3 linked regions of the Drosophila melanogaster genome follow. The gene in region 1 interacts genetically with each later gene. Each region holds a gene or a part of one and is shown on either strand. Other genes may lie near its edges.

Evidence for each region.
Region 2: of Sas-4 (region 1) and ens, changing one enhances a phenotype caused by changing the other (phenotypic enhancement), as found in Drosophila melanogaster (one study listed by BioGRID).
Region 3: of Sas-4 (region 1) and Mad1, changing one enhances a phenotype caused by changing the other (phenotypic enhancement), as found in Drosophila melanogaster (one study listed by BioGRID).

What each region holds. Positions count from the first base shown.
Region 1 is NT_033777.3:7,149,616-7,159,912, reverse strand, and holds Sas-4 (spindle assembly abnormal 4), read right to left. Parts: upstream 8,547-10,297; 5' UTR 8,506-8,546; coding exon 6,661-8,505; intron 6,610-6,660; coding exon 5,749-6,609; 3' UTR 5,694-5,748; downstream 1-5,693. Other genes in the region: MAGE, read left to right, coding at 4,849-5,547; gfzf (GST-containing FLYWCH zinc-finger protein), read left to right, coding at 9,283-9,747, 10,281-10,297; CG2656 (uncharacterized protein), read right to left, coding at 8,715-8,862.
Region 2 is NT_037436.4:4,126,129-4,136,425, forward strand, and holds the start of ens (ensconsin), read right to left. Parts: upstream 8,423-10,297; 5' UTR 8,375-8,422; coding exon 8,326-8,374; intron 7,695-8,325; coding exon 7,641-7,694; intron 7,529-7,640; coding exon 7,421-7,528; intron 6,085-7,420; coding exon 5,828-6,084; intron 5,762-5,827; coding exon 5,622-5,761; intron 5,109-5,621; coding exon 4,993-5,108; intron 4,516-4,992; coding exon 4,261-4,515; intron 3,664-4,260; coding exon 3,523-3,663; intron 2,846-3,522; coding exon 2,180-2,845; intron 1,035-2,179; coding exon 861-1,034; intron 804-860; coding exon 634-803; intron 575-633; coding exon 1-574. Other genes in the region: RfC4 (replication factor C subunit 4), read right to left, coding at 8,808-9,638, 9,691-9,855.
Region 3 is NT_033778.4:9,289,648-9,299,944, forward strand, and holds the start of Mad1 (mitotic arrest-deficient 1), read right to left. Parts: upstream 1,919-10,297; 5' UTR 1,811-1,918; coding exon 1,690-1,810; intron 1,634-1,689; coding exon 579-1,633; intron 526-578; coding exon 1-525. Other genes in the region: Drep2 (DNA fragmentation factor-related protein 2), read left to right, coding at 5,923-6,135, 7,619-7,889, 8,620-9,785.

The sequences.
Region 1 (10,297 bases):
GCCGGGAACAGCAAGAAAAACAACGCGCACACTGAGAGAAACGAGGCCCACACTCGGACTGACAGCACTTCCCCATTTTGGCTGCCAGCAACCAGTTGCATATGAAAGTAAAAGTAAAGCATGCACATGCAGCGTATAATAAATATATATACACAAACTGCATTTAAATGCATTGCAGACGGGCTGAGAGACCGCTGGAGAGATACATATGCGACTATATGTTTAATATGTTTCATACAAACAAAACAAACAAAAGGCGAGCCGGTGCGAAGACAGCCACACCGGTTGTGAATGCAGACACCGCTCAGACAACTATACCCATATTATGTGCATATAAGTTCATATATACGATACATATATATATATACATATATGGCCGCTAATGAAATGCGTTCAAAGAGGCCGAAACGATACCCAGATGCTGATAAACAAGCTGAAAACCAAGCCAGGCTCAAGCTCAAAAATAACCGAAACTTCATTTCGAAGACATGACATCATATATGTATACGTATGCTGCATAATCTTCTTGCTCGGGATTTAAATTGTTTAAACAGAATTTCTTTGAATATTCGACTCGTGACTCAAAAGGTTTTGCTCAGGGAATTTATTTCTTTGGCCTTCAGAGATTTTATGGACACGTTCGTGTTTCGTTTAGAAAACATAAATTGAAATTAGGGATAAAATAAGTAGCTTAAGAGTCGCATATTTATTTCATAATAAAAATCAACATTATTTTTTCGTGAACTTATAGCATTCCATGGAAGTTTTGATTTAGGTTTGACTTGTCTATTTGTATAGTTATAAAGTTGGGATGCACAAAGGATACTTTTAAATATATAAAATGTAACTATATGAAATTAATTATATAGAAATAAATTTTTACTTTCTCACTGCACTTTCAACTTTATTTTTAATAGAGAACTTGAAATGCTTAAAAGCACCAAAAAATAAATAAACATAAACCAAGTCGCTTGGCTTGTCAATCATGGTCCATTTGACCATGACCATGACTTCAGAGTGCAGATCTTCTCACGATCGTTTGAGTTGGAAAATCGTAGTTTTTCGGCGTTGCAAAAGCCATTAAATTGATGCATGTATAACATGACACCAAGCTCGATAATAATTATTACAAATTTCTGCCTTTCGGCGAATGGCTTGTGAAAGTTTTTCGCACAGGAAGCTGGCTGCGATTTATGCAACAATTTATTGGACATTATTGTTTCTGGCACTCTCTCATGCAAATTGTGCGGAGCTCAAGGCCTTTGCGACAAAGTCGTCGACTGCATACTAAATTCGAAAATGTGATTCACATTTCGGTTCATGTGATACACTTGCAAAAAGCTGCCGATCGACCTTCGCAAGGCGAAAACGTCACCGAAAACGTGTGTTCGAGAAAAACCTAAGACTTGACATTTTATTAGTTTCAAGACGGCACCGGATACTAAGTAAACTATTTAGCATTTGGCCGGCGTAGAGAATTACCCCAATCACTTTGGGTACCTAAAGTGACTCATTAGATGGGCATTTTTCAAGCGTCAGCCGAAACACCATTAGTTTTGACCAACTTGTACGGCCCCAGACGCTGAACTTATAGCTTAATTGTTTACAAAACGGCATGGCCACTTCAATGTAATTAATAATTATTAAATGTTTATATAAACGTTATGGGGATGTGGGTTTCAGTTGTAGCTTATGTATATGCTGGCCCACTTCAAAGTCATCGAATCACGGGCTATAAAATTAATAAGCACTTTAGAATGGCCGGCCAAACGAGAGATTGTGAATCTCGAGAGCAATAAAAACACACGAAGGCGAAACTCAAACGCAGCGAAAAGATCAAGTTGAAGACCACAGAAAATGCAAAGACACAAAATACAATAAACAATAAAAAAAATACAACGGCCTTGAAAAATATTTAGCAGTGAATATCTTATTTAAATTATATTAAATTTTAGTAATTTCAATAAACGAATTTCTATTTCACACAAGTGGAATCTTAGAATTGTTTAACTTGCACGACATCCACCGCCATAGAGCAATAAAATCCCATATTTTCCCACTACGAATATGCGTAAAACTTAGATCCGCTTTGACTTCAGCCATTTTTTATTCGACTGAAAACCGTGTACTAGACAACCCGCAAGTCGATGTCGTCACACGGTGCGTATACGCGATTAGGCATGCACGAGTGAACTTGGCCCCCAAGTGAAGTCAATTCACTGATCATTTGTTCGACTTTAATTGCGACGATTGTTGCAGCCATTTGGCAAACTATCTGATAAGCGTTTAATTTGATTATCAGTGGCCGGCGTCTAGTTTGCATCGAAATTTATTAAGTGTAAAAGGTCAAATAGCAGCTTCGTTTTGATCCATGGCCTGAGTTTAGCAATTTGACCTCTTAATTAAGCCGAACAAGTTTGTTGTCCAAGTCTTTTATTTGAGAACTAAACTCTACTCGCTCACAGCTACGTTCAGCTTAGCGCGCTTTTGTAATTGTGAGCCCCATTGACATTTAGCGGATAGCTGAGTCGTTCTGAGAGAGGAGCAAATCATAATCTAATCGAAGTGCCGGTCCCGGGCCAAAGCTGATCAGCCAGATCGACCACGAGCGGCAGCTGCTGGACAAGAATGCCGAACCGCTCCGCTGAAGGCAGTCCACTTTTAAGAACGGCACGCAACCAGACTGAGGCAACAACAGCCGGCTATTGTTTCTATATTCTCGATTCCATTCCATTGCGACCGAAACGGGGTTATCTGCTCACTGAAAGAGGTTGTAAGAACAAACTTATATACTTGTATAGGGAAATAAAACATTCGATTTGCTGAAGAATAAATTAAAATATTTTTAGCCAGAGAAGCTGGGAACATGAAAAGAAGGAATCTTTAAAAAACTACAAGATAAGAGATTTATGTTTGCGAAACTATGCCATTTATCAGCGTTTTTCTTATCAAAACGAAAGACTAATTTGAATGTTTGCAACACATTTTTTTAAAATACAACTTTAAGAATATCAAAAGATGTATTTATATTAGCGTAATTTCCATTTAATGGTGCCTTCCATTTTTCTGAATTTTAAATGTAATATTATTTATTCATTTTTCACTTTTTATTTTCATTCATATTATTTTCGCAATAAAAAACTTTTAGCTCCTTAAGATATTCGAAATGATAAATCTCAAAGAGCAAGCCACTTAAAAACAATTAATCCCGATCATATAGAGCATTAAACTCCACACATTCCTCATTCCAATATTGGCTTTCTTTTTTGTGCACACATTTTTTGTCTGCTGCCTCTTGTGATTCTGTTATTAATTTATTAATAGTTTTTGCCACCGCGGTGAGCTGCGAAACCCGTTGTCGTTACTCTATTGGCTGGTCATGGGATTTTGTTTATCATGAAAATTCTAAATGGCATGCTCATGTCATTTGCTAATTTTTAATGGCCTTTAAAAGCCAGGCTGCATAGCAAGTTTGCCGCTCACGTCGCTCAGCAAAGACCTTGACTTTCTTTTTAGTAAATGAGACATTTCTCCAACACCGTCTGGCTACAATTAGCCGGCCATAAAAAAACTTTAGGGCTGGAGTTGACAAACTCCAACGTTACAATGCGCATTTTGAAAGCAAAACTGTTTGCTTGTGTGTAGAAAGTCTAACGCTTCGCGTTGACAGTGCGTTTTGTTGACTCACTCAGCCGCCGTTTTGCGAGATTTACAATCTTGAGTAATTTCACTTGCTGGGATGCAAATTTCGGTGCTATTACAGTCACTGGTCAAGCAGAATCAATTGCAGAACGCGGCGGATATCCATTTCAGGCGGCCACAAAGGCTGTCTTTAACAATCTGAACTCCGATATTCTGCTTTTGTTCAAGCCGGAACAATGGCGAATCAATTAAAGCTTGCCGCCTGGCCAGGCAACTTTTGTCTGCCTTCCGCCTGTACATTTATCACTTATGGATCGCGCACTTTGCGCAGACGCAGGTAACTAGTTTTCACCGCAGAGATACAGCCACCGCCATCGCCACCTAAAACACACATTTCAAGGCAATAAAATATGTTTGGCCATGTAATTCTGCAGCGTCTGGAAGTGCACTTCGGCGCGTGTGTCTGCTGCGCGAAATGCATTTCCATTTCCATTTCGTTTTGTTTGACTCGGTCTCTGTTTATTTTGAGTCTCCGTGGGGAATGTTGACCGTGCATGTCATTCGCGTTTAGTTTTGAAAGTTGTTTGCTTCCTGCTGCTGCACGTCGCGTCGTTTTGGCCATTTTAATTAAAAACACATCACCTCCTGAGGCTGCTATGGCAATTTTTATGCAAAGTGCGTTACCCACTGCTTAGCTGCTCGATAAATGCTCGAATGATATTTATTTAGCAAACGTTTCGCTGCAGCGCAAATTTCATACTGATTGTTAAATGTAACAGAGGAAAAAGGCGGCAGCAAAAGGAAATCAATCAATACAAACCCACAAGAGTAGGTACTTCAGCGGCTCTTGGCCCAGTTTGTGCGTTCAAACGAGACCAATGAGTGGCCATTTGCACTTGAAAGTGCATATAATAGGCAACCAAGTGAAAAAGGATGCGAGAGAAAAGGATTGGTAAAGACCATAATAAGGGTTCGAAGATTTTATTGTCAGAGTAATGATTTTGAATTAATATAATTTGCGCGCCCATTTGGTATTTTAATACTGAAAACAGGTCTCGTTTTTTAACTCTGATCTGGCAACGCCAGGCTTGTACACTTTCAAAAGTGCGAAAAAAAACATATGTTCGCTGCATTCTTGTTGAGTTGCATTTTAAATAATCAAATAAATTTGATAAATTGGGAGCTTGTTAATCAAATTAACTCGAAATGGCTAGCACTTCTCGCGCAGCTAGGAGCCAGAATGCCATCCCCTCGCAGGAAGCGCAACAACCCGTCGATGTGGTCGACGCCAAGGTTCGCGCCATTCTAAACTACATCCTTGATCATACCGCCCAGAAGATTCCCATAAAGGACAAGGATTTGATAGCGGTGGCTGGGGACAAGAGCGAACTGAAGAAACGCCTGCCGCTGGTCACTAATCTGCTGGCCGAAACATTCGGTATAATACTAACCCCACTGGACGCGACCACCAAGACGTTCATCTGCACTGCGGAGGAGCCGGTGGCCTCCATTCACGAGCTGACGCCGGCTCAACGGCCGCAGTTCACGCTGCTGTATATTATTCTCATGTACATCTTCCTGCGCGGCAACCGCATCGAGGACTCGAAACTGTACGTTATGCTGGAGATGCTCAACATCTATCCAGACGAAGAACATGGCTACTTCGGCCCCAATCTGCGCAAACAGATCGAGGAGACGTTTGTGAAGCAACAATATCTGAAGCGGGAACGCTCACAGCTAAGTGCTTACGATGATTCCAAGACTTTCTTCCTTTGGGGACCACGTGCCAAGGCGGAGTTCACATTCGAGCAAATGGTGCAATTCGCCTCCAAGCTGCTCAATCAGCATCCCAAGGTCTTCGGCCATCACCTCTCCATGGCCCAAGAAGGAGTAAACGCGGAGTAGAATACCATTCTATGAATAATTTACTACATTTGATCTAACAAATTGAAAACCAAACAATATATATAATAATCTAAAATAGAGCCAATTTCCCATTTATCAGCAAGAAAAGAATATTACGATGATCTTTTAAAAATAGCACGTCTTTTCTATTTATCTAAAACTTAAGTTAATTTACTTAACAACGGAAGCAGAGACCCGACTCTAATACTTGGCATAGTCTGTGTCCATTATGAGCTTGCCATCCTTGTCCTTCAAACGAACGCGGCCGTTGGAGTAGCGCGTCTCTTGGCTGCCATCCGGATACACTAGCTTCACAGTGCCGTCCGGATACTCCCTTCGCTTGTTTAGTTTGGTGTGAATCTCCTTTTGGCCATTGGGCAGATTGAGAATCTTGTCACCATTCCGGAGCTGCACTAGATGGGTTCCATCCGCATAACGCCACTCCTCCAGTTTCTCCGTATCGCTGGGATCCACAATCTTAATGCTGTTGTTGGGAAAGTGAATCTCAACAGTGCCATCCTTGCGGCGATGTTCCGTCTGCCCGTTGGGAAACTCGAGTATTTCCAAGCCATCTAGGTAGGAGGTGTGCCAAGTGTTGGTCTCAGCGTAGTAATACTTCACTGTGCCTTCCCTGATGTTAGTTTCCTTGATATCCTTGTTGAAATAGAGCATGCGCAAGTTCATGCCATCGGCGCTTATCTTTTTTAGATTGCCGTTTGGGTACCAAATGTCCTTGCTCCCATCCGCATTCGTAATCTCCCGCTTAAAGTCACTGCTGGAGTTGGCAGCCGGTGGGGGGGTAGCAGCTTTCGGAGCGGTCACGGGCGGCTGAACTTCCTCCGATTCCACAGAACTACTAGAGGCGTAGCTCTCATCCAGAGCGTATGGTGTTTTCTTATTCCTGCTCAGTGAGCGACTCCGACTTCTCACTTGGGCACTGCCGCTACTCTGACGACGGTTTTGCGCCTCTCGCTGCTTGGCAGGCTTACCAGCAGTGCCGTCCAGAGATTGGGTGCGCCGACCGTTCTCATCGAGGATATCGGACATTGTCGCGGAAGGTAACTAAATGAAGACATTAGTTACATTACGATATACACACAAGCATGCACTTACCACTTTGGGGGCAAGCCGGGCTATGTTTCGATTGATCTCCTGCAGCATCTTGCTGTTGTTTTCGCGGCCAATCTTGACCAGCTCTTGCTCTAGGCGCTTGTTCTCCTTGCGCAGCAGCTCGATCTCGTCACGGTAGTTTCGCTGCTCCTTCTCACTGGCCCGCAGTTGAGCGCGGAGTCGTGCCTGTGCCGAGACATGCGCCTGCTCCTTTTGTTTGAGCTGGAGTTGCAGTCCCTCCACTTCCTGTTTCAAGGCGGCTATCTCCTTTTTTTCCTTGCTGTTTGCATTGCTCTTTTGAAGTCGCATTTGCTGCTCGAACTTGCGTCGTTCCTCCTCAATCTTCATGCGCTCGTCGTGCAGATAAATTTCAGCTTGAATCTTTTCGTCATGGACGCGTTCCATGGCCTCCATGTGATCCTGTGTGCACTTTGCCTTCTCCAATTCGTGTTGCTGCCTCAGGCGAAGGAGTTGGGCATTCTGCTCCTTGAAGGTGGCTATCTCTGTCTCCAGCTCTTCGAGGCGAGTGCGAACGAGATTGGCTTTCTCCTGAAGATCTTTGGTTATGGGTTCGTCTGACTCCTTGCTGGGACTTGACTTCTTCTTCTGTTCCAATGCCTGGAAGAGGGCGGACTTGAACTGTTCAAAGAGCTGAATATTGGAGCCGTCGTTGAGGCTGGTGGCATCGGAGTACTCGTGCGTGTCATTGGAGTCGGAGAAACGCACTCGCACTTTAGTATTCCCCACCTGGATGGGTGTCATTGTGAGGGTCTGATCGCTGGACGGTTCGGTGTCCTCCTCGTCCCCCTCCTGCAGTTCCTGCACCAGCATCTGGTCCACCTGTGGCTGCAATCGCATCTGACGCACCTGCTGTGTGACTACAATGTGATCGGAGTCATCAGCTACTCGGCGACGCTGATCTTTGCGCGCCATAAAGGTTCGAATGCAGCTGGAGTTCATATCAATGTTTCCCTCAGTGGCCTTCTGCTCGAGCAGCTCGAATATGCTTACATTGCTGTCATCTTCCACTCGGATTTGAGCAGAGCGTCTTTGGATTTGCGCTGGCTTTATACTCTGTGTGTCCAGCACCTTGGCCCAGCAAACTCCTGTCATGGGACTAGCTTCCGAGGAGGCTTCATCATCGGCATGAGTGGTTTGTCCCGCCCTGCTCTTCTGCTCTACAAAACGAACTCTGGGCGAGGTGCTCGAGGCGGTTGTGGAGGACGCATAGGAAGACTTTAGATCTGGAGTGGAACTGCAGGCGTTCTTGCCGATAAGCATCTGCTGAAAGCGCTGCTCGTTGAGATCGTCGAGCTGTGCTGAGGGTTTGGGAGCTGGTGGAGGCGCAGGATTGGGAGGTGACTTGACTTGCTTCTTGAGAATACCCTTTTTCATTTGAGGCGTGCGGAACTGAGGGTGGGCATTAGCGAACTTGTATCGCGGCAGGTTTTCCAGGCGCAGCTGGTCGGGATTGATCTTGAACCGCTGCTTTAGACCTTCGCCGCGACGCAGAAAAGGGCGTTTAGGCTTGGCCGGCTGGGGATCAGCCATTGAAATCTCTGGCTCGTGCTCGTCCGGATCCGCCGCGAGTCGCGGCATTTGTATAGAGTGCTCCTCGTCCCACTCCTCCAGCACACTGTTTTCATGGCTTTCCGTTTCCTGGTGTAGCAGTCCCAGCATTTTGTACATATTACGTTGCTCCAAGCCGAGCAAAACGCGGTGATTGGACTGCCGCTCCTGCAGCAGCCGCTTCTGCTCGTCCTGCCAACGACTAAGCGCCGCGAGACGCTGTGCGATGGCCTCCTGGCTCAGAGGCATTCCAACAGGACTTTCGCCAGCCTCCTGCATGCTTTTATATTCGTTCTTAGAATCGCAGTTTTGTTTAGACGCCGTACGCGTAGGGGAATTTAAAATTACGGCAGCAGTTGTCCAACACTGTACCAGTGGCAACTCTGCGGTCAGGGATGGTGCTAGACATGCATTTTGATTAGATTTAATTTTTTATTAAAAATAAAATATTGTACATTTTCTTAAGCAATATGAAAAATTGATTTTTTTCAATCCTGATCCCCTTCCTCCGGTTCATCAAAGTCCTTAACGTTCACGTCTGCATCCTCGCCGTACTGCAAGATACTGTCAATTTGTAGCAGAAGATCGCCCACGCTCTCCTCGTCCTGGGAATCCAACGGGAAAAATCTCACCAAACTGTAAGTGAATAATAAACATCAATATTTACAATTTTTGAACGTCACAAAAATAACCGATTTTGATAAGTGGCAACGCCACCGCATAGCTCGCAGCCCTCGTATCCCACACAAAAGCATTTTTCGACGCGTCGCAAAAGAAAATGTGCTTGTGCAATTAAAATCGAGTGATAAAAACCAAATATAAACCCTTTTAGTGCATCAAACTGCAATAAATCAGTGCGTTTGGGTAAATGGCCGGCGTTTGCAAAAAGGCGCGCAAATAGTGAGCTGACGAAATACCACCAAAAATCCCAACCAACAAATCCCAGGCAGCCAGCCACTAAAAAAATCGCCTAATTTACGATACAAAACACTTTTCGAGGGCAAATCGAAAAACGCTGAATTCCGGGCTCGGGCCAAACAGCGCACCAATTCAAAAATGGAGACGCCCGTCGAGGAGCACGGCATGGACCTGACCAAGGTGTCCGTGGTGCGCTCCGCCAAGGGCGTGGATATGCTCTGCGTGGACGACTATCTGTACCACTTCGATCGCATCGGGCGGAATAACACCTACCGATGGCTGTGCAACAGGCGCAAGGACAAGTCCACTCCCTGCAAGTCCCGCATCTGCACCATGCTGCCCGATCCGCTGGACAAGACGCGCCACGTCGTCGTGGACGTCGTTCTGGCCCACATCCACCCGCGCTGCAGCGATCACGAGGTCAACAAGGTGGCCCAGCGCAAGCGGCTCTCCGTAATGATGATGAACGACGCTTACAGCACCACCCAGCCGAAGAGAGCACGCCTGTACGAGCGCGCCAACGCCGGCATGAATCCGCCGGAGTTCATCTACGGAAGCATCGACACCTCCACCGTGGAGGCCTCGTTCCAGTTGGACTTTGAGGTACGGCCCCAGGCCAACTGTACCTGGCTCATGCCCCTGAATACTCAACTCAACCATTTATTTAGAATCTAGCTGGGTCTCTTTTTCAGAAAGAACATTGATATTAATATTGATTCATATTTCGGTAACCACCGCTACTTTGAACATTTGATAATGTAAAAAAAAGGTTAATTTGCTCACCTTAGTAATGAGATGGTTTCCCGCCAATTTGTTTTTTATATTTATTTTCCTATTTGCAAATCCACCGGCTAGGCCGTTAAAAGGACAATAAATACCAAAGCTTAATCATTTATGATTCAAAAAATACTATATATCTCCAAACGAAACTAAATATTAGGGATTTTTGAAAAAAATGGGACCCAATCATTTTATAACATGCACCCTACTGAAGGGAATATCCAAGGGAATGAAATACTTTTGAACTTACACTTAACTTAATTTTACACCTAAATAGATTTCCCATGATGTACCATTTTTAATTCATATACAATTTTACAGCACAAAAATGACTAACACGAACTCTAATTCCGCAGGACAAGGATCGTGTGTA
Region 2 (10,297 bases), on another chromosome or scaffold:
TCGAAGCGGTCATCAGATCAGCACCCTCTGGTGGGGTCAGTTCCCGCACCTCTGAGTTCTCCTTGCTGCGCGATGGTTTCTTGGGCGCAGCCTGCTCCTGGGGCTTAGGAACCTCCTTCTCATTGCCCTCATCCGATTTTTCCTCTACATTAATTGAGGTAACCAAAGCTTCGGGCACAGATTCCACCGCTAAAATTTGCTCCTCCTCCTGACGCGCCCCTTCCTCCGTTTTCTCCGTGTTCAATGCTTCCTTCTCAGCCTTGCTCACTGATGGAACAACAACGGGAGCCTCGGTAGGAACTTCAGCCTCAGGAACTGGCTCATCTGCAGTAGTCTTCTCTACCTCCTTGGCCACACCGTTCTGCTCGGGAACTGGAGCGGATGTGGGTGCGACCGGGGCAGGAGCTGGTTTTGTGATGGTGGAGGTACTGCTGCTGGTGACAATCATCGACCTAGTCATTGCAGAGGTATCCTTGGTTTTCGGTTCCTTGGTAAGCCTACTGATGCGCTCGGAACTGGCTGTGCGACTTGGCAGCGCCTTTGAAGCTGATGCTGCCTTGGGTACCGGAGGTTCCTGTAGATTCAAATACGATTCAATAAACGTAATGGGCTTCAAAGGAATACGAATCTTACCCGCTTCGAAGGCGTCTTCTTTTCGGCGCTGCTCAGCCGCGATGAGCTGGAGGTCACGATCAGGGAGGTGGACATAAGGTTTGCAGTTCGTTTGGGTGTCGTTTGTGCGGATGGCGAGGCGGCTGTCGTCTTCACGGGCGGCTTCTGATCCCTCTTGAGTTTGTTAATCTCTACGAGGTTTAAGGGTTTCATGTCTGACGTTCTAAGTGTTCTTCAAGCGGACTTACCCTCGAGAGACATGCCCGTTCCGGCGATACTGGCGGGCCTCGGTTTCCGGGGTGCCGTTGCCGGTCGCCTGGGCACCAGCCCGGATGTGGACATGTTTGTCGATGTGGACATGGCGCTGCCGGGCCTTGAGTTATTGAAGTGTCCGCCGGGCGTGGCATTTCCCGATCGCGAGCCTAAAGATTACAGATTTCATTAGAACAGTTACGGAATGAGAGATTACAGGGGGCAAGGGGGTGTCATTATGGATGAGCTTATGTGGAGCACCAAATAAAGCGTACGTGAGTAGTGACCGTCACCAGAGTTTACCATTATTGCAGGGGGGAAACACAGGGAAACACAATACCAAATGTAGGACACAAGTTAACCAAAGATCCAACAGAGTTCAATTCGTACACATATAGCGAGCGAACACATAATGAGGATACAGAACATAAAACCAAGGACCAAATATCATATACCTAGGAGTACACAGACTCATCTGAGCCCATAAATACTTATGTTTATATGCGTATTCAATGTTATGATATGGCTAAAATGTAAAATAAATCAAAATGATAATAATGATAACAATTAAATAAATGTAAGTTTCGCTTCACCATCTAATAAAACCCGATCAAAGCAAGTGTAACTATGGATACATACGAACAAAACGACCGACAGACGGCGACAGGCAGCAAACAATATGGACCAGGGAAGCTCCGAAAAGGATCGATTATGATAATGTGATTATGATGATCTAGAATAATGTGAAATGTGAAGCCTATATGTATGCTTTTTGAAATTCTTTTTTAAGATCTTACAAACGTTTAACATGTGGTTTGGGATTAAATGATCAAATGAAAACACAATGTGTTTTACTGGATTTATCATATAAACGGACTTGCGGATGTAATGGACTAACATATCAAAGGTTGTTGAAACCGCATGAGATCACATGTGGATCACAAATTGCTGCTCAGATGAACTACAAACAACCTCGATCGGTCGTTCTTCGTATGTCCTCTATGAACCGAGGGAATTGGGAAACAAAAGCCTATGCGGGTGTACGAGTTCGATTTTTGGAGTGTGGTGAAAGTTCAAGTTAGTCGATTTCGGTGCGCGAGTTGTTGTTCTAGTGGTTTGTGGTGGGGGCTATCAGTAGGTACTCGAGTAAATGGATAGATGGCTACAACGCTATACGCAATCTGCGGAGGATTTAGATTTTAGATTTAGTGAGTAGTGTGGTGGTGGTGCTAGCGTGTTCTTTGGATTGGTGTTTTTTGATTGGTAGTTCGAGATGTTTGGTTGTAATTTAGGTTTTTGTTTAAATCGCACACACCTGCATTCACTAACAAACTAGCAGAGTTCATGAGCAACAATGAGTTGGGATCGAGATCGAGAAAACGGTGGGGGTTAGTAGAGATCGCATATTGCTGCTGCCGGCCACGACCAGTCGCGTTCGCGCGGAAGGATGCAGAGTTGAAGGATGAGGCTGAGGCAAATGATGACTGGAGGTATTTCTTAGTTGCCGCAGTTTGCAGGCCGAGTGTGGACTGGCGCAGGTGGTGCAGGTGGTTGGGTGGTGGTTGCTGTGGTGCTGTGCTGCCATAAACCGACCAACTGCTAATCTGTGTCATGCTCTTACTGGTGGAGTCCCGCTGCCCTCCGGCTCCGCTGGCCAGCGGACGGAAGCTGGTCGATATGCCGCCTCCCAGCGAGTACTTTCCGCGCTCCCGCTGGCCACCTCCTCCGGCCAGGTGTGTCATGCTGCGGGACATTATGCCGGCGGCACTGGAGCTACCGCTTCCGGCGCTTCCCGCCCGCCGTGCACGCGCGCTGGACCCCGCACCGCGTCGCCCCCCTCCTCCGCCCAGCGAGGCGGTCTCGTCCAGCATCTCCAGCTCCCGCTCGCGGCGTTCCCGCTCCAGAATCGCACGCATGTGCTCCCCATTGCGGCGTATCGGCTGCGCCAGCTGGTCCAAGCGGTTCATCGAGTAGGCCCGTCCTGCGGTTCAGTTGAAAGTTGAAATTGGTTTCGTGAATCTTTTTTTGAGCCTGGCTCTGGCTGTGGATCCTTAGGGAGCTAGCTAAGCTTAACCCACGGATGCGTTCGAAATAGTTTTCAAGGAATTTTCAAAATTGTCTTAAATATATCTATTGTATTCTGAAAATCATTAAGATACGAGAATACCTGATATAACTTTTATAAAATAAGATTTAATAAAACTTTACTATTTCGAACGCAACTGCAGTTACAGGAAGACTTCACAAAAAGATGTGGACAAACTGGTCTACAAAATGGTGTGTACAAGGTGTGTTTTGAAAAAGGTGTGTTCAGGTGGCTGGTGTGTTTTTTACAGTGTGTGTTTCAAGTGCGTGGAATAAAGTTCTGGTGTTTTCAGGTGCCTGGAAGAGAAAGTGTTCCATATTTTCTCACTATATCTCTGCCGAAACAGCATTGAACCCGGGAAACGACAGTAAAAAGTCAGGGGCTAAGGGCAACTCTTGGTCCGGAATGGGCTAAACCAAAAGGAAACACAACTAATCGGATGGAGGGATGTCGAATGAAGAGCTGTTGATGCGTAGATAGACGATGAAGCTGATCGCTGGATGAGCATGATTCAGATAGCTATGGGGGTGTGTCGGTTGGATGGACTGGAGGATCGATTGGGTGGGTCTTACCTGGGGTTCTGGCCGGCGTCGAGCTCAGGGAGCCTCGCGAACCATAATGCCCGTCTCGGGGGCTAGGTATTGTCGGCATAAGGTCCGTTTTCCTGCGGTAAACGCTTCGGAACACCATGGGTGATGAGTCAACGCTATCTTCTGCAATATTCGGGTTTTGGGTTGTTTTGGTTTTTGTTTTGTACATGATTTTGGATTTTGATATTCGATTTTTGGATGCAACTGCCGAAATGATTCACTTGCGATTTCGGTCTCAAAATTATATATGAAAAAACTTAATATCTAGGAACGATAGAAACCAAAAGCGAAATAGCTAAAACTTAAGTGTTTACACTGATACTCCTGATGGTTTCATAATAGATTATTAATTTTAGAATCGGTAATTAATACAGTCAGCCAGTGTAAACACTTTCGGTACAAAATAACCATGCTGTTGGGGATTTACGTTGAATTCTTTACAGACGGTCGATCCTGCTTTCGAGGGTTAGCTTCAACGAAGAGCGCTTGGGATCTGTACAATCTGGAGGGCGTAAAAACATCATGCAAAACTGAGAAGCTCAAGGCATGCCATTGGTTTGGGTTACGGGGGTAGAGACAACGAGAGTTACGAGCTTACGGCGGGGTTACGAATACAGGGTTAGGTTTGGCATTGGGGTTACGGCAAAACAAAAAACGGGGTCAGAACGAGAAGGGTTAAGAACGAGAAGGAGGAGCTGAGTAGAGTAGAAGAACCCTCACCCTTACGATACGAGTTATTGTTGTTAAAGTTGTTGTGGCCTGCAGTAGTGGTGCTTGTTGCTGTGGTTGTTGTGAGATTTGTAGGTCTGTGCGCGTTGGCTGTTTGTTTGGAAGTGGGCGGCGGATGGGGATTGGCCGGCCCATCGATATTTATCTCGCTGCCGGCAATGGAGAGCGAGAACCGCTTGGGCGGCTCGTCATTGGAATAGCCCCAATTGAACACCTCGTACATGGAGGAAGACTTGCGTCGGTGATCTGTGTGAAGTCGGTAGTTTTTTCGATTTGTTTCAAATATAGAAGTGAACGTTACAGAGGTGTGATTGCTGTTTGCTTTTGGGTGCAAATCATATTAGAAAACAAATACAAGAAAAAAAAATAAATAAAAAGAGAAGAAGGGAGCAGAAGTGATCGTGCCGTGTGAGAAGTCTGTGGGTGCTAGGGGTTTGTATCTATACAATAATAGTAATTCACATGTACACCAACTGGGCACAGTGGGAGATAACATGGTAGAGGGTTATAGAAATCTCCGGTTTGCGGGGCACATGTAAACAATAACTGGGACTTGTCAATTACAAGATTTACGAGTGTCTAAGGTAACGATAACGATAACTGCAAAGTAAAATTTAATCTCATTATGTGTGTCTGGTGTCTCAGCGAGTGTGGAGTGTTCAAGAGTGTGTGTATATCTGTTTCGGGGATGACTCAAGTGCTGCCGGGGGCAGCGCGACTCACCATCTTGTCGGTCCGTCGATGAGGAGGCACGCTTCTTAGCACCACTGTCGGCAAGTTCACGCTCTGAACTTCGACGTGTGAGCGAGGCGCCCGCTACGTTCGATATAGATGTGGACCTGCAAGGGGAAGTCATGTTTAGTACTCAAATTCAAATATCTAAGCGCAAAAATATAAACTTCGAATTGCCTCAAAATGGCCTTGCTACTTCATAACGATAAAACAATTAGCTATTTGCCATTAAGAATATCAAAGTTTACAATGAAAACCTGCTTAATCATTGTGAAATGGGTTTTTTCAACAATTGATTGGCTACTAGCTCACTATCTTTAGTTTCATGTTAGCCAATTATTTGCTTTCATTTCGCGACATTTACTAAGTCAATAATTATACTAATTGTGATTTATATATTTTGGCAAACAATTTCGTCATTAAAAGTTCAAGAACTGATAAAAATAATTAAGTAATGCCAGTCAGAGTGCAGCGCTAATTAGTCATGTGCAGCGCAAAGCACATATGAAATCGGCCAAAATATATACTAATCTAGATAGCCATGAATGGCTACATATTAGTGTGCGCGTTTTGTGTGAGTTTTTGGCTTTGTGCTCAGATAACTTTCATTCGGATCTCACCTCCGCTGACCCCAAAAGGCACTGGGCGATACCAGACCATAATCCGCGGGCACATCCAGCAGGCGGGGAGTCGAGGAGCCAAATGCGAAGCCGATGGAGTTTCTGTCCCGTTTTTTCACTTCTATCCGGGACTCGCGTTCCTGTGGATGATCAAAAACAAGAATTATAATAGAAGTTCATTGGAATCGAAGCGATAACGCACGCACCTGATTCTTTTTGAGGATGTACTCGCGGCGCTCCTTCTCGGCCTCGAAAATGGCCTTCTTGCGCTCCTCCACCTGGTGGCGCTTCTCTGTGTCCCGGGTACGGATCTCCTCGATGCGTCGACGGCGCTCCTCCTCCTTTTGTTCACGGTACCGCTGGGCGGCCTCCGCCTGGGCACGCAGTTCCTCGATTTTCCGGTGGCGCTCCTCATTTTGGCGATCGCGGGCATATTTTAGTTTCTCCTCACGGTCTTTGGACGCTAAAAGCGTAGCAAAATGAATAGAGATTCGAATTCGCACATACTTATAAGGGCATAAATTGAATTTGGATAAACAAGTTACGGTTCGCAAGCAAATAAAACTGGGAATATTTTCATCAGTTGCTACCTGTGGCCCAACAAAAATCGATAAATATCTGCTTAATATGTGTAGTATTATACCCCATTTTTCGACTTTTGCCGGCGAGTTATTTACATGAGAGCCGAGAGCTGACGTCATCGACAATGTACACTCGCATTTTGTGGGTCAATTGACAAACTAGCAGCAGCAACAATAACAAATATGGCACAAATACTCGGACAACAATACCGCCGCCCCCGCTTCAAATTTGCCTATGTGCAAAATGGGCGAACAACAAAAAAAACAAATGATAAAAGGAAAATAGAAAGCAAATTGCTAATGCAGGCGCACATTTTGTTCTATTGAAATGACATTGAGGCGGAAAAATGCAAAAAAAAAATTAACAATAATAACAATAATATTGGTAGCATGCGGTTTGGCTGCCAAAGTCTGCATAATCGAACTGGGAACTGGTTCTTATCGCCTTATCGGTTAAGATATTTTTGGAATTCCATGACGTAAGCAAGACGACAAAGGAACAACTGCAAGTCAATCTTTTTGCCAGTTACAGGTGCGAAAATATCTTGCAAATGGGAAATTATCAGCTGTCAAGGTCGCAGGCAAAATTGCTGGATTTTAACCCACTGTATGCCATATTTACTTGTGTTTTTGGAAAGCCAAAAACATTGCAATTGATTTTTCGCTTGATAAAATCCATTTCCTTTTTGCTCTCGTAATAACATGTAGTTCAATTTAACTTAACAAACTTTGAGAACATTGTTATTAAGATCAAATTCCCAATAACTTAATCATTCCTTGTTTTGCATTCTCACAATGATTTAGTCAAATATGACTATACATATTTTTAAAATTTGTATAATTAGAGTTGGACTTGCCATCTAAAATCAAGCTAGACCTTAAGTGTAGATAACATTTTGATCTTTTAGGTGTTAATTGAAGATGCTTTGAGTTTTTAATAACCCACTTTAGTGGGTAACATCTAGACAGTTTAGAAACTACAGTGATTTAAAGCGTGTCACTGGGTGAGAATAGATAAGAAGATTTTCTTATTAGAAAAACAGCTATGAAAGACTTGCAATAGACCAGTGACGGTTAAAATCGCGATAAGGCGGACTATGGGTCTTATTTGTTAGTGAGATCATGCGGCAAACATTCGGAGCATTCGTTTTGGAGGCGGAACAGAACGGGGCGTGGCTGTGGAAGACTTTGGAGCAGCCTGAATGGAATGCCAACTACCTTGAGAGTCGTCTTCACTGGCGGAGATTTGACCGCCCACCTGGGCGAACCAATGCAAGGTTGCGCCGGCGCTGCAGCCCGAGATCTTGGCAGGTGCGAATGCGTGGGCTGTGGTTCGAGTTATAGGTGATGTTAAAGCGATTACATATAGTGCGTATGTGTGATATACATTGGTGCCGATTTTATGTAACTCGCAAGATAATCCGCATAGAAGGCTTACCTTTTCGCTCGGCGCTGCCCTCGCGACTTTCGGGTCGCTTGGCTGTGTTTTCCACTGCAAAAGAAGTACGAGAAAAATGGACGATTGAGTTTCGCTGCGATTTTCCGGAGTTTTACACGGACTTTTGGCTTTCGTGTGTGGGGAAAATCAATTGCCGTTGCGTTTTGGCAAAAAGGAAAGGTGACAAGAAGGCGAAAGAGCGAGGAAGGAGGGGGACACAAAAACACACACACACACGCACGAACACAAGCGCACGGCAGCAGCTGCGATGACGAAGCGAGAGAGACAGTGAGAAGTACGAGAAAATAATGTATGTTTCCCTCTCTCTTGTTCCAACGACTTTTCCGACTGGAACTTATTTATAAACTCAAAACTCCGGTTCGGAATCGGGGAACTCGAAATACATATATCCCCCATTTCTAGGGGGCAGACACTTTTGGCTTCTCGGCTTTTCTCTTCTTTTCTTTTCTGTGCCTCTCGCCTCGCTGTTTTTTTTCTTCGTTTTTCTCTCTTCACTCCGTTTTTGCTTTTTGGCCGTGGTGTGAGTGCCGTTTTGCTGCGCAGTCGACCAGCACTTTTTGGCCACTGAAAACGCCCCGAAAACGCGTAGATCCTGGCCGATTTTCGACGCGGGGGCATTCGTCCTTCGATTTCGCACTCTCAGCGGGTTGTTTTCAATGCGTACCTTCTGGATTAGTCGAAATATTTCCGTGTTGGCCCCCAAGACTCGCCATATTTCACTTTACTTTAGCGCTGCAAACAGTGTGGCCAGCTCTGTAGTGCTGCGATAATCTACTTAATGCGACCGTACTGTTGTATAGTGGTGTGCTCTACGAAAATACTAGAAATGTTAACTAACGTATTGGTTTTTATGTATAAAAACTAACTCCGGTTTTATGTATAAAAACTAATGATCATTCGGTCCTATAAATACATTATCTAATGTTGTATGATAATTTCAGCTTCCGATACCAAGGGCGCAATAATTAACACTCCATTAGGGACGATATGCTCTAAGTGCGCTGACATAGAAATTAACATTAATCTGTTAACTAACGGTGCCCAGTTTAAAATTTAGGTACACTTGTATTCAATACTGAAAAGGACTTATTTATCTCCAATTTTATTTATCTCTGAGATTTCTTTAACCTATAGTTCATATTAAATCTAATGCTTCTCGGCGGCAATGCAGAGTTTGGCCAGAAGGGCGGTGAGCTGCAGCAGCGAGTTGATACCATCGATAATCTTCATGTGGGTGATTCCGATCTCACGGATAAAGTCCAGCTTCAAATGCTCATCGATGTTGATGCGCTTGCAGACACGGAATATGTTCGCAATGATGTCCTCCGGCGAGTATCCCAGCTTCCACAGCTTGGCCAGGATTTTGTAGGCCTTGTGTATGTCGTTAGCAGCGCAATGGTGGATCATCTCCTCTAGGAGCTTTGGGTGCGGCTCGTCGCAGACCTTAAAGACGTTCTCAGCGGTGATGTCGCCAAATCCCTGAGCGGTGGACTGCAGGTTGTTCAGTCCCTGTCGCATATCACCTTGGGCAGTGAATACGATGGCCTCAAGTCCGTCCTCCGTGTAGTTAAGCTTCTCCCACTTGGCCACCTCGATGAGCTTGGCCAGAACTTGCGCATCGGACAGCTTGGTGAATCGTAGCATGGCGCAGCGGGACTGGATAGGCTCTATGATCTTCTCGCTGGTGTTGCAGGCCAGGGCAAAACGAGTGGTGCTGCTGTAGATCTCCATGGTCCGGCGCAGTGCCTGCTGGGCACCCTCCGTCATGCTGTCCGCCTCGTCCAGAATCACAATCTTGTGCCTGCCCCGCGGCAGTGTCACCTTCTGCTGAGCAAACATCTTGATCTTGTTGCGGACCACATCGATTCCTCGTTCATTGGAGGCATTCAGCTCGAGGACAGCCTCCTTGTAGCTGTCTCCCAGGAGAATCCTGGCCAGACACTGGATGGTGGTTGTCTTGCCCACGCCAGGAGGACCCTATAGATCACAATTAGTGGCGCCAAACTAATTTTACTCCTCACAAACTCACAGCAATAATAATATTGGGTGCATTTCCCTGGGTGGCGAATACGGATAGTCTTGCTACGGTATCCTCATTGCCCACTATCTCCTTGAACTTCACGGGGCGGTACTTCTCAATCCACGGCAAGTGACTGCGCTTGTCGTCCGCCGTTTTCTCTGGTTCTTCCGGCATTTTATGTGCAATTTCACAAATTCGCACAAACAAATTGAAGCGTGGGGCTGTAGTGTGGCCGTTTCTTGGGCGCCAAAACACAACGGTTAGGCCTGGTATTTTTTACATTTATCGATTTCTTAGCAACACCGATAGGTCCATAAAGGTAATTATTTGAAATTCAAATATAAAAAAAAAACGTTCAGATCATAAAATATTCTGTAAATGAGGAAAAGAACACACGCTCAACAATATATAAAAAGAATATGTTTTAAGCAAACATTAGTTAAAAATTCTTGTTTACAATGTAAACGTTAGATAGATGAGGATTTCAAATCAGGTTAAAAAAAACTAAAAAAGTTAAATTTAATTTAAGACCAAATAGTTTTTTTTTTTCGTTAAGCTTTATTGGGTATTGAAGAAATTACAATACATTTAGATGCATCAGGTGCCAAAAATTTGA
Region 3 (10,297 bases), on another chromosome or scaffold:
GGACTCATAGGCTTCGGCAGCGGGATTTTCACTAAAGTGTACCACCTTGAAGTCCTTCATGTTGAAGTCGCCCCGCAAGCAGCGGTGCATCATCTCCATCTCCAGTTCCTCCTTGCGCCGACGCAGCCGATCGTTTTCCATCCGCAGCGTATCCAGTTCCTTTTTGACGCTATCGTATCCCTCTCCGGCAGGTTCGTTCACAAGCTCCTGCTGGCGCAAGGATTGAATCTCGCGTTCCAACGTGGCACACATGTCCTTGTATCCGGTTACGGTGCGTTCAAGCACCTCCATTCGGACCCGCACCTGCATGTCCTGCGTCATGTCCGCCACACTGGCATTGCTCAGGGTCGTGTCCTTGTCGAAGTTTTCCACCAGTTGTTTGTAGAAGTCGCGCTCCTTAGACACGGTGATCAGTTTGCGCTGCAGTCGCTCCTTGAAGTTCTTGTGGCGTTTCAGTCCGATATTGAGATCCTCGATGTTCTTCAAGTAAATGGCGCACTTATGCTCTAGATCTCGAATTGTGGTCTATAAAATGGAGTCAGATAAATTGGACTTGGAACACATTGGACAAAACCTACATTCAAATGCTTGGTATCCGAAGCCGATGATGTCTTCTCTGCCACGTGAATGATGTCTTCTTTTAGCAGTTGCTCAATGCGCGAGCGTAGGGCCATTGGGCTGACCAAAGTGTTGGCCAAGCAGTGATCCTGGGCCACCTTGACCCATTCCTTGAGTTCTTGCTCCATGTGAAGCAGTTTCACCTGCAGGGAAGCTGCTTCCGCCCGAGCACCTTCCTCCCGCTCCAGTCGCGTTTTGTAGTCGTAGACCTGCTCCTCCAGAAGCAATTTATCGCCTATCAGAGTGTTTAAATGCTTGTTGTGGCTGCGCAGATGCTCCACCTCAGCTAGCAAATCTGGAACACTGGCCAGGCGCTCTCGTGAGGTTTTGACCACCTCCTTCCAGTCGCTATACGACTGAATTTCGAACTCCAGCTCCTGAATGCGATCGTTGGCCACCTTCAAGCTTTGCGTTTGCTTCTCGTGATTGGCGCGCAGCTGCTCGAATCCGGAAGCCCTGGCCTGTAACTCCTCATTGAGTTGACGTAGGCGCTCCAGTTCGTTGCGCGTAGACTGCAGTTCGAGATCGGCCCGCTGGGCTATGCGGCGATATTCGCTCAGTTCGTTGTTGATGCACAGGTGCACATCGCGGGCATCCTCCTTCTGCAGGTACTTCTCCTTCTGCAACTTGAGCGTGGATTCATCGAACTTAAGCCTAAGTTGGTTCAACTCGGCGGTGGCCCGACTGGCCTCATTCTTCAAGACCAGCTCTCGCTTACGAAGCGCCTTAAGATCGTCCTGCAGCTCCAAATTCTTCTTGCTGGTGATGTCGCACTGATCCTTTAAGGCCGTGCTCTTGTTCTCAGCCAGCAATATGGCCTCTTTGTGTTCCCGGCTCTTCTTTTCGATTTCGTTACGCAGCTGAATTACTATGGCCTTGGTTTCGATCAGCTCGGTCCGTAGTTTGCTGTTCTGCAAAGAAGCCATGGAATCGTTGGCGGGCATATTGAGGGAAGAGGCGGTGTCGTTAAGACTGCGTTCCGGTGATTCCCGTTCCCGACGTCGCTTATTGGGTGCTAGTAGAGGAGTTACTTGTTAGTTTCTACGTTCGCGCCTGTAAATTACAACTTACAAACTCCTAAATCGAAGGAGGCGGAAAGCCGGTTGAAAAGTAGTTTCTTGGGTGCCGAATGGGTAATGCTGTCGTTAAAGCGGTCCATCATATCATCTATGCTGCTACGTATGTCGTCCATTTTAAGTTGTATGTGGGAGACCTTAGTTGACGTTTTCAGTAAAGATATTTACTTTTTATTGCTAAAAGAAGTTGGTAAAATATTAATCTTAGAGTGGCTGCAAATATTTAGACAAGAAATGCCAAATATTGGTCATATTTTATTAGTATTAAAGTGGCCGATAACTTTGGCTTTTGTATCCAAAATTGTCACCAATAATCAAATATACGTATATTAATCTGGGAAATAATATCTTAAAAGGGACAGTTGTCTTAAGCAATTTCTTTATTTGGTGTGTTAATATAAAATCAAGAAAACAAATCAAAAGCTAAGTTGGCAGCCCAGTTTAGTATATTCGAGCGTGACTCTTTTCTGCACCACCCAAAAGTATGTTACACGAAATACTACAGGTAAAAGAAATCGCAATCGATAACGATAGTTCTTCGAGTGTTGCCGAAAATAAAAATTGATTTGCATTTCTTCTCGGCTTAAAATGAATTAAATGTTATTGTTTCCGCACCGAAAAAACTCATAAATCGTTAAAACAACAAATTCCGAAATCGGAATTAATTCGAACAATTGAACAACTGCCAAAAACTAGAACGTATGTGAAGCGTGTGTGTCGTACATACCAAGAGATAAGGACAAAAAACGGTTAAAAGAAAGCTTTCAAGAAAGAGAGTATAGAAAATAAATTTTACTAAAGTAACAAAAAAAAAACAACGAAACGCGTGTGCGTGTGCAACAAAAAAGTGTATGTCAAATAAGAAAATGTGGCTCCAGCGATAACGGTACTCCAATGTGCTCTCTCGCACGCACACAGAAGCATCCCGCACACGTACACCACCACCACTGCCAAAAAGCAAATCCTGCCCAACAGCCGCACCTATAAAAGTGGGCGTGGGTTGACCCAAGTTACTGTAACAAATTTGCAAAAAGTGATGCATGCTAATTGTTTAAACAAATCCCAGCTTTCCTAATCAAATACCTTTGCGAATTCCAATACACACCTATACACACATACCCACGCAGTGATTGGTGTGGAGAGGAAGAAGGAAAGGAAGCCAAAGGACAGGATAGAAAAGCAAGAGGAAGAACGAAACAGCATCGGCGCGTTGGAGAAATGTGCGGGAAGAGAAGATTGAAAATAAACGTGTAGTAGAGAATTTTTGAGACACTCACACGCACACACTCCTCCCACACTCTTTCTCTCTGTCTCTCCGTCTATACCGCTTGCCGCCTACACACACACATACTTAAGTAGACGCACGAGAGTTCTCGTATCGCGAAAAGCGTGTGCTTTGTTGTTGCCTCTCCCACTCCCTCGCTCTAAGAGGCGCTCCCGTGTTGTTTTTGTTGTTATTGCCGCTGAGCAAATGGCAGACCCTCTAAGCGGGTGCCGCTGGTGATAACATGTCGTAATGGCCAGAGAGGTAAGTGCAAACGTGCTAAAAGCAAAGCAAAGCCGGCAACTACGGCTTAACCGTTTTAGTTTTCCCGATCACCACGGTACCGCAAGTTACTTTGCCAAAATCAGCTGTTCTCACTTCATCACCATCCCCCATCATTCACATCTGCAACCAACGGTGTTAGCCTCTCCCAACATTAAAACAGTTAACCCTATGTCATATTTTTCCAAAGAAGTTTAACCCAACACTACAACTTAATAATAAAAATGCTGCGTGTAACAAATAATTATTCTCTGTAGGAATGAATTTTTTAATTAAGCAGTAGAAACAAAATAATCAAAAATAATACTAGGTAATAGATTTTTTTTAATAACATGCAATTTGAACAAAGTAAAATTTATAATATATTTTAATATTTCTTTGACTTGGTCTTTGTAGATATTTTGTTCTTTACGTGGTCAGCTGAACGAAAGATAGGTTCTTTATAGAGCAACACAACAGGATGCATGAATAAATCAACTTCTAGAGAAGATTAGGCAAATTTTTATTTTGCTGCTTGAGTATGGGTGCAATGGATACGATTCATGCCTGGCCTAAACTACAGGCACTCTGCTCCATCTATGTGAATTTTTCATATGACAACCTTTGGCGAGTGTATCTAGCAAGGCGTATCGCTGCGGATGCTCCGCACTCGCGTCCGCATCCGCTAGAGAAACCTATTAAGCCTGTGGCCCGCATTAGTCTCTTTGTGTGCGTGTCCCTCAAGCTCCTGCTCTGCATATGTGTGTGTGTTTGTGCATGTTTTATGCAGTTCCTTCGTTTCGTTTTGCTTTGCGGGTGAGTGAATAGCTTTGACCCAAATAACTGAGGTAATACTTACGCCTCACAGATGTGCCACTCCCCCAACGCCCTCCTTTCCCGCCGCCTCCATCCCACGTGTGGCTGCAACTGTTGTTCTTCTTCCTCTTCTCGCGCCCCCTTTGAAAGGAATTTCGCTCTCTGGCCTTTCCAAAATTGTTGCTTTGAGAGGATGTCTCCAAAAATAAATTAGTTGCGAATTCCCAAAGCGCTGGAATTCCTTTAAGAGCTGATAAAAATGCAGCCGAGATGGCTTTCAGTTGGCAGTTGATCTGGCATTATTTAGGATAAACAAAACAACTTTATCTCTCCTTCTTCTTACTGCAATTAAAAATCTCGGCCAGCAGCAATTACAGGAGTTTTAGTGCTCTGTTATCCATTCACATTTACAGCTGGCAATGCTTTTGCGAGAGGTAGAGAGCTTCATATAAAAGTGCATCACTCTCTCTCTGTCTCACCCTTTTTATTAAAAGACTTCAATGTTTAATGCTAGAGTTTAAATGTCGAGCAAGATCAGGTCTAAAAGAAAGCTAAATATTTTCCTGGGGCACACAATCCAATAGCAACACTATTAATTGAACGCCGTTGATTGGAAGTAAATGTTTACAAAATCAAACTGATGGGATCTTATGAAATGCTGGTAAAGCGTTTCGAGGGAGAAGGTGCGCGCGCTTTGGCGTCCTGATTATATCACATTGATGCAAATGTAGGCCAAAGCACGACGAAATATCTTTACCTGTTAAAACATCGAAAATTATGGAAAAAAAGGTAGTAAATGGGAAATAGTGGGGTGGATAAAACAAATACGGTTTAATTGGGGACCTAAAAACTGAAGGCATTAAATTGACTAGATAGTAGTAACGGGATTTCTACCCCCACTCCTCCACCTGTCCTACTCGCTCTCGCAAAGCTTTGTGCTGCATTTCACCTCGTTCTCACTGCACTTCTCTCGCGCTTATGCCTCGTGCTCATTTCAAGCGCTGTTAACGCGCTGCAAAAACGCACCCAGCCCCAAAAGTCAAAGAAGAAGCAGCAGCAGAAGCAGCAGCTGCTACCGTAGTGAAATCCGATGCAGCATCTCGTCGGGAAAACTCACAGTTTGCTCTGCCAGGCTGCCAGGCACACAGGCAGCTAAGGACGCTGCTTTGGCCCGTGGAAACACCACGTTCCCACTGGGTGCTATAACTAAACAAATCAAGCGTTTTTCTACAAAATCAAGTTTCTAAAAACGAGCTATAATTAAGTCTAATAACTGGGACTCAGCATCAAATGAAAATGAAAACTCGGCGGTTTCACGGGCAAAAGGGCGCTGCAGGCGCGTAGTATCCGTAAAGTGAAAGTGCGAAGGTCAACCCGCCCTGACCTGCCCCAAAAATACGAATGCGAATGCGAATGCGAAGTACGAGCAGTGAAAAGCGAAATTCTAGGCACTTCAACTCTGCCAGTATTTACAACAAACTAAAGTAACCAAATAACGTGGACGATAACATTTATACCAGAAGCTGTATTTTGTGCAAAGTGCGTTTTTTTTTTCGTGACCCCCTTAACAATTTTTGTAATTACGAATTTTCCCCCTGAACGCAAGGCATTTATGACTCCAACAATAAGCAATAAGCTTTAATTTTTGTAGAACTTTTGGTAAAAGCATCCGCAACTCCGGATTTTGTAAGGCGTACATCGGTTACGGGTTTATATAACGGATTTTTAAAACGGACATGGATTACCAGAGCTTGGAGCTCCAAGTGTAAGACGACCTTGGAAGCGACGAGGCCAACCATTGCAAGCAAGCCAGCAGAGCCAGCGCAGAGACTCGGCCTAAAAGTGGCTGGCAGCAGCAGCACCACCAACAGCACCACCAGCACCACCATGTGGTCCAACGCCCTGTGCACGCTGGGCGTGACGAAGCCGCTCTGCAACTGTCTGAGCATCAGACAAGTGGCAGCCGCAGCTGCGGCGGCGGCCCAGGCCACGCAGGGCGTAGCTGCCTCTGCCGCGGCGGCGGGTGGGGCCGGAGTGGGTGGTGGGGCCATCACAACGGGGCCCTCGTCGTCGGTCACAAACGGCGGACTGTCCGCAATGGTAATAGTTTCGCTTTGCGACCCATACTTATTCAGTGTTTAGCTTTCATCGACTGCAAATGTCCTTCATTTCTAGATCAAACTCAATCTATTCCGTCCTTTATCCAGTTTGGTTTCCAATTCCACCTCCAATTCTAAATACCTCCTCAAATGCATTTCACACTGGTTAATCGAATAGCTTGTTGGGCAATACTGCTCAATAACTAGTTTAATGGTTTTTGGAAATTCATTTGAAATTATTCAACCTGTTGGTGGTTGGTTTGCCTCTTTTCTTGCATGAAATGAAATATCTTACTATTTTACTTAGGGAAGATAAAGCATCACCTTTAGCGTATGTTATACATTTTCTTTAGGTACTATTACCCACTTGTTTTCTAAAGTTTCCCCTTTTTTTAAAGCTAAGTCACACAATCTTAAAGTGCTACGATATTCAACCAGTTCTCCAACAATTGTTTTACGGCATAATATGATTTATCGAGCCTTAGAACTGGCAGTGCTCGCTGTTTATAGTATTATCAGTTTCATAATTTATAATAGCCAGCACATCCCCGACCCGCTGCACTCCCTCGGTGCCATATGGTGCTGGGGTGCAGCAACTGACCTATCCCAAGAGGAAAATCGGTGCGATGGTTTGGATGGAGAGGGATGAGGCGGCGAGTAGAGCACACAAAACACTGGCCAGAGCGAGGGAAATGAAATATTTTTATGAAAAGTTTCTGCTTGTTTTCGGTGCGGAGGAATAAGCAAAATGTCAACATGAATTTTTTGTAATTTTTCAAACATTTTATTTTGGGTGAACGGGCGGGGAATGAACTGGGGGATCGGTGGATCGGGGGATTTGGGGGCTTGGTTGGCCGAAGAGAGATATTTGTATATGGCTCGTGTGCTGCACTCGTTACTGGGTCACTGGAGCGCCACACTCATGTCCTTGCAATACATTAAACATTGCAGCTTTCGTCCTGCTCGGCTGGCTGGCTGGCTGGCTGGTCGTTGTTGTTGTTGCCTGCAACTGTTAGCCAACAGCTGTGCGCGCTGTTAGCCAAAAGGATTCGTTTTCAATTTTCTTTGGCCCTTTTTATATGTACATATATGTTTCCATTTTCAAGCATTAGCACTTGCATTTGCTTTATTTCGAATGTGAGGGCCGTGGATTTATTTCAACTTTTATTCCATAAGATATCTACAATTAATATGAGCAGTGCAGCAGTTGTGGCCTTGACATTTGCGCCCTTTTTGGCCAAGCCAGAGAAGCCCAATTAGCGGGCTGAGGAAATTATGACACAGTCCGGGCCTGCTGCCACACCCACTTGTCAGTTTTTCGTGCGCAGCGTTTCACAGGTGTCACGCCCATCCTGCACCCTGCACCCTGCATCCCACATCCCACATCCCCATCCTCCCACATCTCAGCTTTCACTTTCCCTTCCTTCGCCAGCAGTTGGAATTGTAATTCGTAAAACGCAACTAATCCGAATTTCTCTTCGCAGGAGTCTCGCGGCAAGAGACCACTGAAAATCTGGGACAGCTGGCGGAATGTGCGCAAGGGCGTCGTAGTTGGGACCTTCGAGGAGCTCTTGGTCCGCGGCAAGGATAAGCTGGGGGTTCCTGCTTCAGAACCGGTGCGCGTTGTTCTGGAGTGTGATGGAACCCAAATCGAGGATGGCGAATACTTTCGCACCCTGGCCAACAATACGGTGCTGCTGCTGTTAAGGCAGGGCGAGCGCTGGTATCCCACTGGCGTCGATGTCATAAAGGCTGGTGGGTGTAATAAGTTCACTCCCATCTCGGGATCAGTACTGGCCACGGGAAATTTAATTATAGATTTAGACCTGGTCAGAGGAAACATTCATTTAGATTCAATATTAAATTCAAATAAGTTATCACTGCGTAAATTATGAGCCTTACCCTTATAGCTAAATATTTGCAAAAAGTCTATTTCGATATTTGATCAAAGACTCTTTCAATTTCATTCAAATTGAATAACTAATTCATAGAGCAAGCATTTACTTTAGTACTTAGCACAACTTTCAATGTGGCTTGTTTGAATTGATTTCAAGGTCAATTGTTTGCGAATGAATTTAAATTCTTTTTATAGTTGGCTGAACTTATTCAATTTCTAAAGAACAGAAATTTAAACAATTCTTTGGACTATATCCTCTGTTTTGAGACACATTGGATCTTGAATGCAATAAATTTCAGCATGTTTTTAATGCGTTGGCAAGCTATTAAGATTTCCGCTGCTAGCATTGAATTGTAAACAAAAACGTAAGACGTAAAAATTAAACAAAAGAAAAATGCTATTTAGAGATTTAAATGACAGTCATTACAATTTCAAGAACATGGTCGTCCGATTCTTATACAAGTCTATTTAAGTGAATATCGTATTAGCTATTTTTTGAGGCGATAGTTGACCTTCTCATCATTCCGTACTGAACTTCAGTTGGGATTTCTCAGTGGTTCGGATCTCATTCTATTATTTTTCTTACAGCCATATCAGCTATACCGAAAATCGTCTGTGAGACGATTCATGCGCTGGAGTTGCACGATGAGACACCGTCGTGGAAGATCATGGATAACAAAGGGCGTGTCACGGTCGTTCTGCACTGGGATCAGCGGCAGGGTGGAGGAAGCGGCGGCGGAGGAGGAGGCGGTGGCGCCGGCGGCGGAGTGGGGAGCATGTGCTCCGGCCTGGGCAGCAGCAATGGGCTGCTGTCGTCCGATAAGTACTCGCCCTCAAAGAAGGGCCTCTCCGCGCAGAGTTCGCTGGACAACAAGTCGGTGTCGTCGCAGTCCTCCCAGCCGCGCTATGCCAGCCCTCAAATAACGGTGATCAGCGACGACGGACCGGCGAGCATATACCATCCCGGTGGCGTTGTTCTGCCGCCAGGAGTTGTGATACCCGGCGGCAGCAGGCGACTCTCCAAGCAGGGAAGCTCCTTCGACAGCACCGTAGGCGTGGGTGTGGGAGCTGTCCATGTGCACACGCCGGAATGCGCCCACCACGCCCACACGCCCAGCAGGGCGGGCAGTCCCAGCACCACCGAGTGCGACTTCCACTGCTGTGCGCTGCACGAGGAGGGGCGCAAGATCGCTGTGCACAAGAGCGTGGCCACGTCGCCCATCCAGGACGGAAGCAGCAGTCCCCAGCCGCAGTCGGCACCATCGGTTATGGATCCTATGCTGGGCGGCAGCGGTGGCGGCGGAAGCGGCAGCATGCAACGCCGCTCCTCGGGCGCCAAGGGCCATGTGCGATTCCTGGACATCGCTCCCGAGCGGGATAGCTCCGAGAGCGAAACGGAGAACACGGTGATGGAGGACGACAAGACGACGACGGAGAAGTTTCTGCTGCTGATCGACCAGTTGTCGGTGGACCAGAAGCGTCACCTCAGCATCAAGGACATCGGCATCATACTGGAACGCCTCAACTCCAAGATCCTTGACGTGGAGCGATTGGATCGCGAGTCCGAGTCAGACGACTGCTACAACTGGACGATAAAGGCGACAATACGCGGCGATGCGCTGCGCGAACTGGGCGTCATTTACAATGGCAATTACTATGCCATCTCTGAGCATCCTGGCTACAAGGAGGAGCTAGAGGAGAACGGCGAGGAGGTCGAGGAGGAGGAGGAAGAGGATGAGGAGGACAGAATTTAGAGTGCCAATGACAGGCAGACGGGCAAACCCACAGGTTCATGACTGTCCCACGTTGGGCGCCACAGAAGGTATCAATAAACTAGCGCATTTTACAGAAACCAAAACGAAAAAATGGAAAAACCCAAAATAAGAGTAGCCCAGCAGCTCGACACAAGAACACACACACAAACACACACCAACATGCATACATATATACATATATACTTATATAAAATAATTACGAGAATATAATAATGCAAGTCGCACATTGTACAATAGTGAAGTAAGCGTAAACGTGAATTATAAAAAGGCGAAAGCAAAGCAGCCACACACCCAGAAACACATACACCCATGCCCACAACAACAGCAACAAGCGCGAACCACTTAAGAGCAGTTTTTGTAGCATTTATCCAATATTCTCATTGACGGGGACCGACGTTACCATAAATCAGAAGCATGGCTGGTTGGAGACGTCGAAGAATATCACTGCACCGTCTGCAGCCAGCTTAACGAATTCTGAATTCGCAAAATTC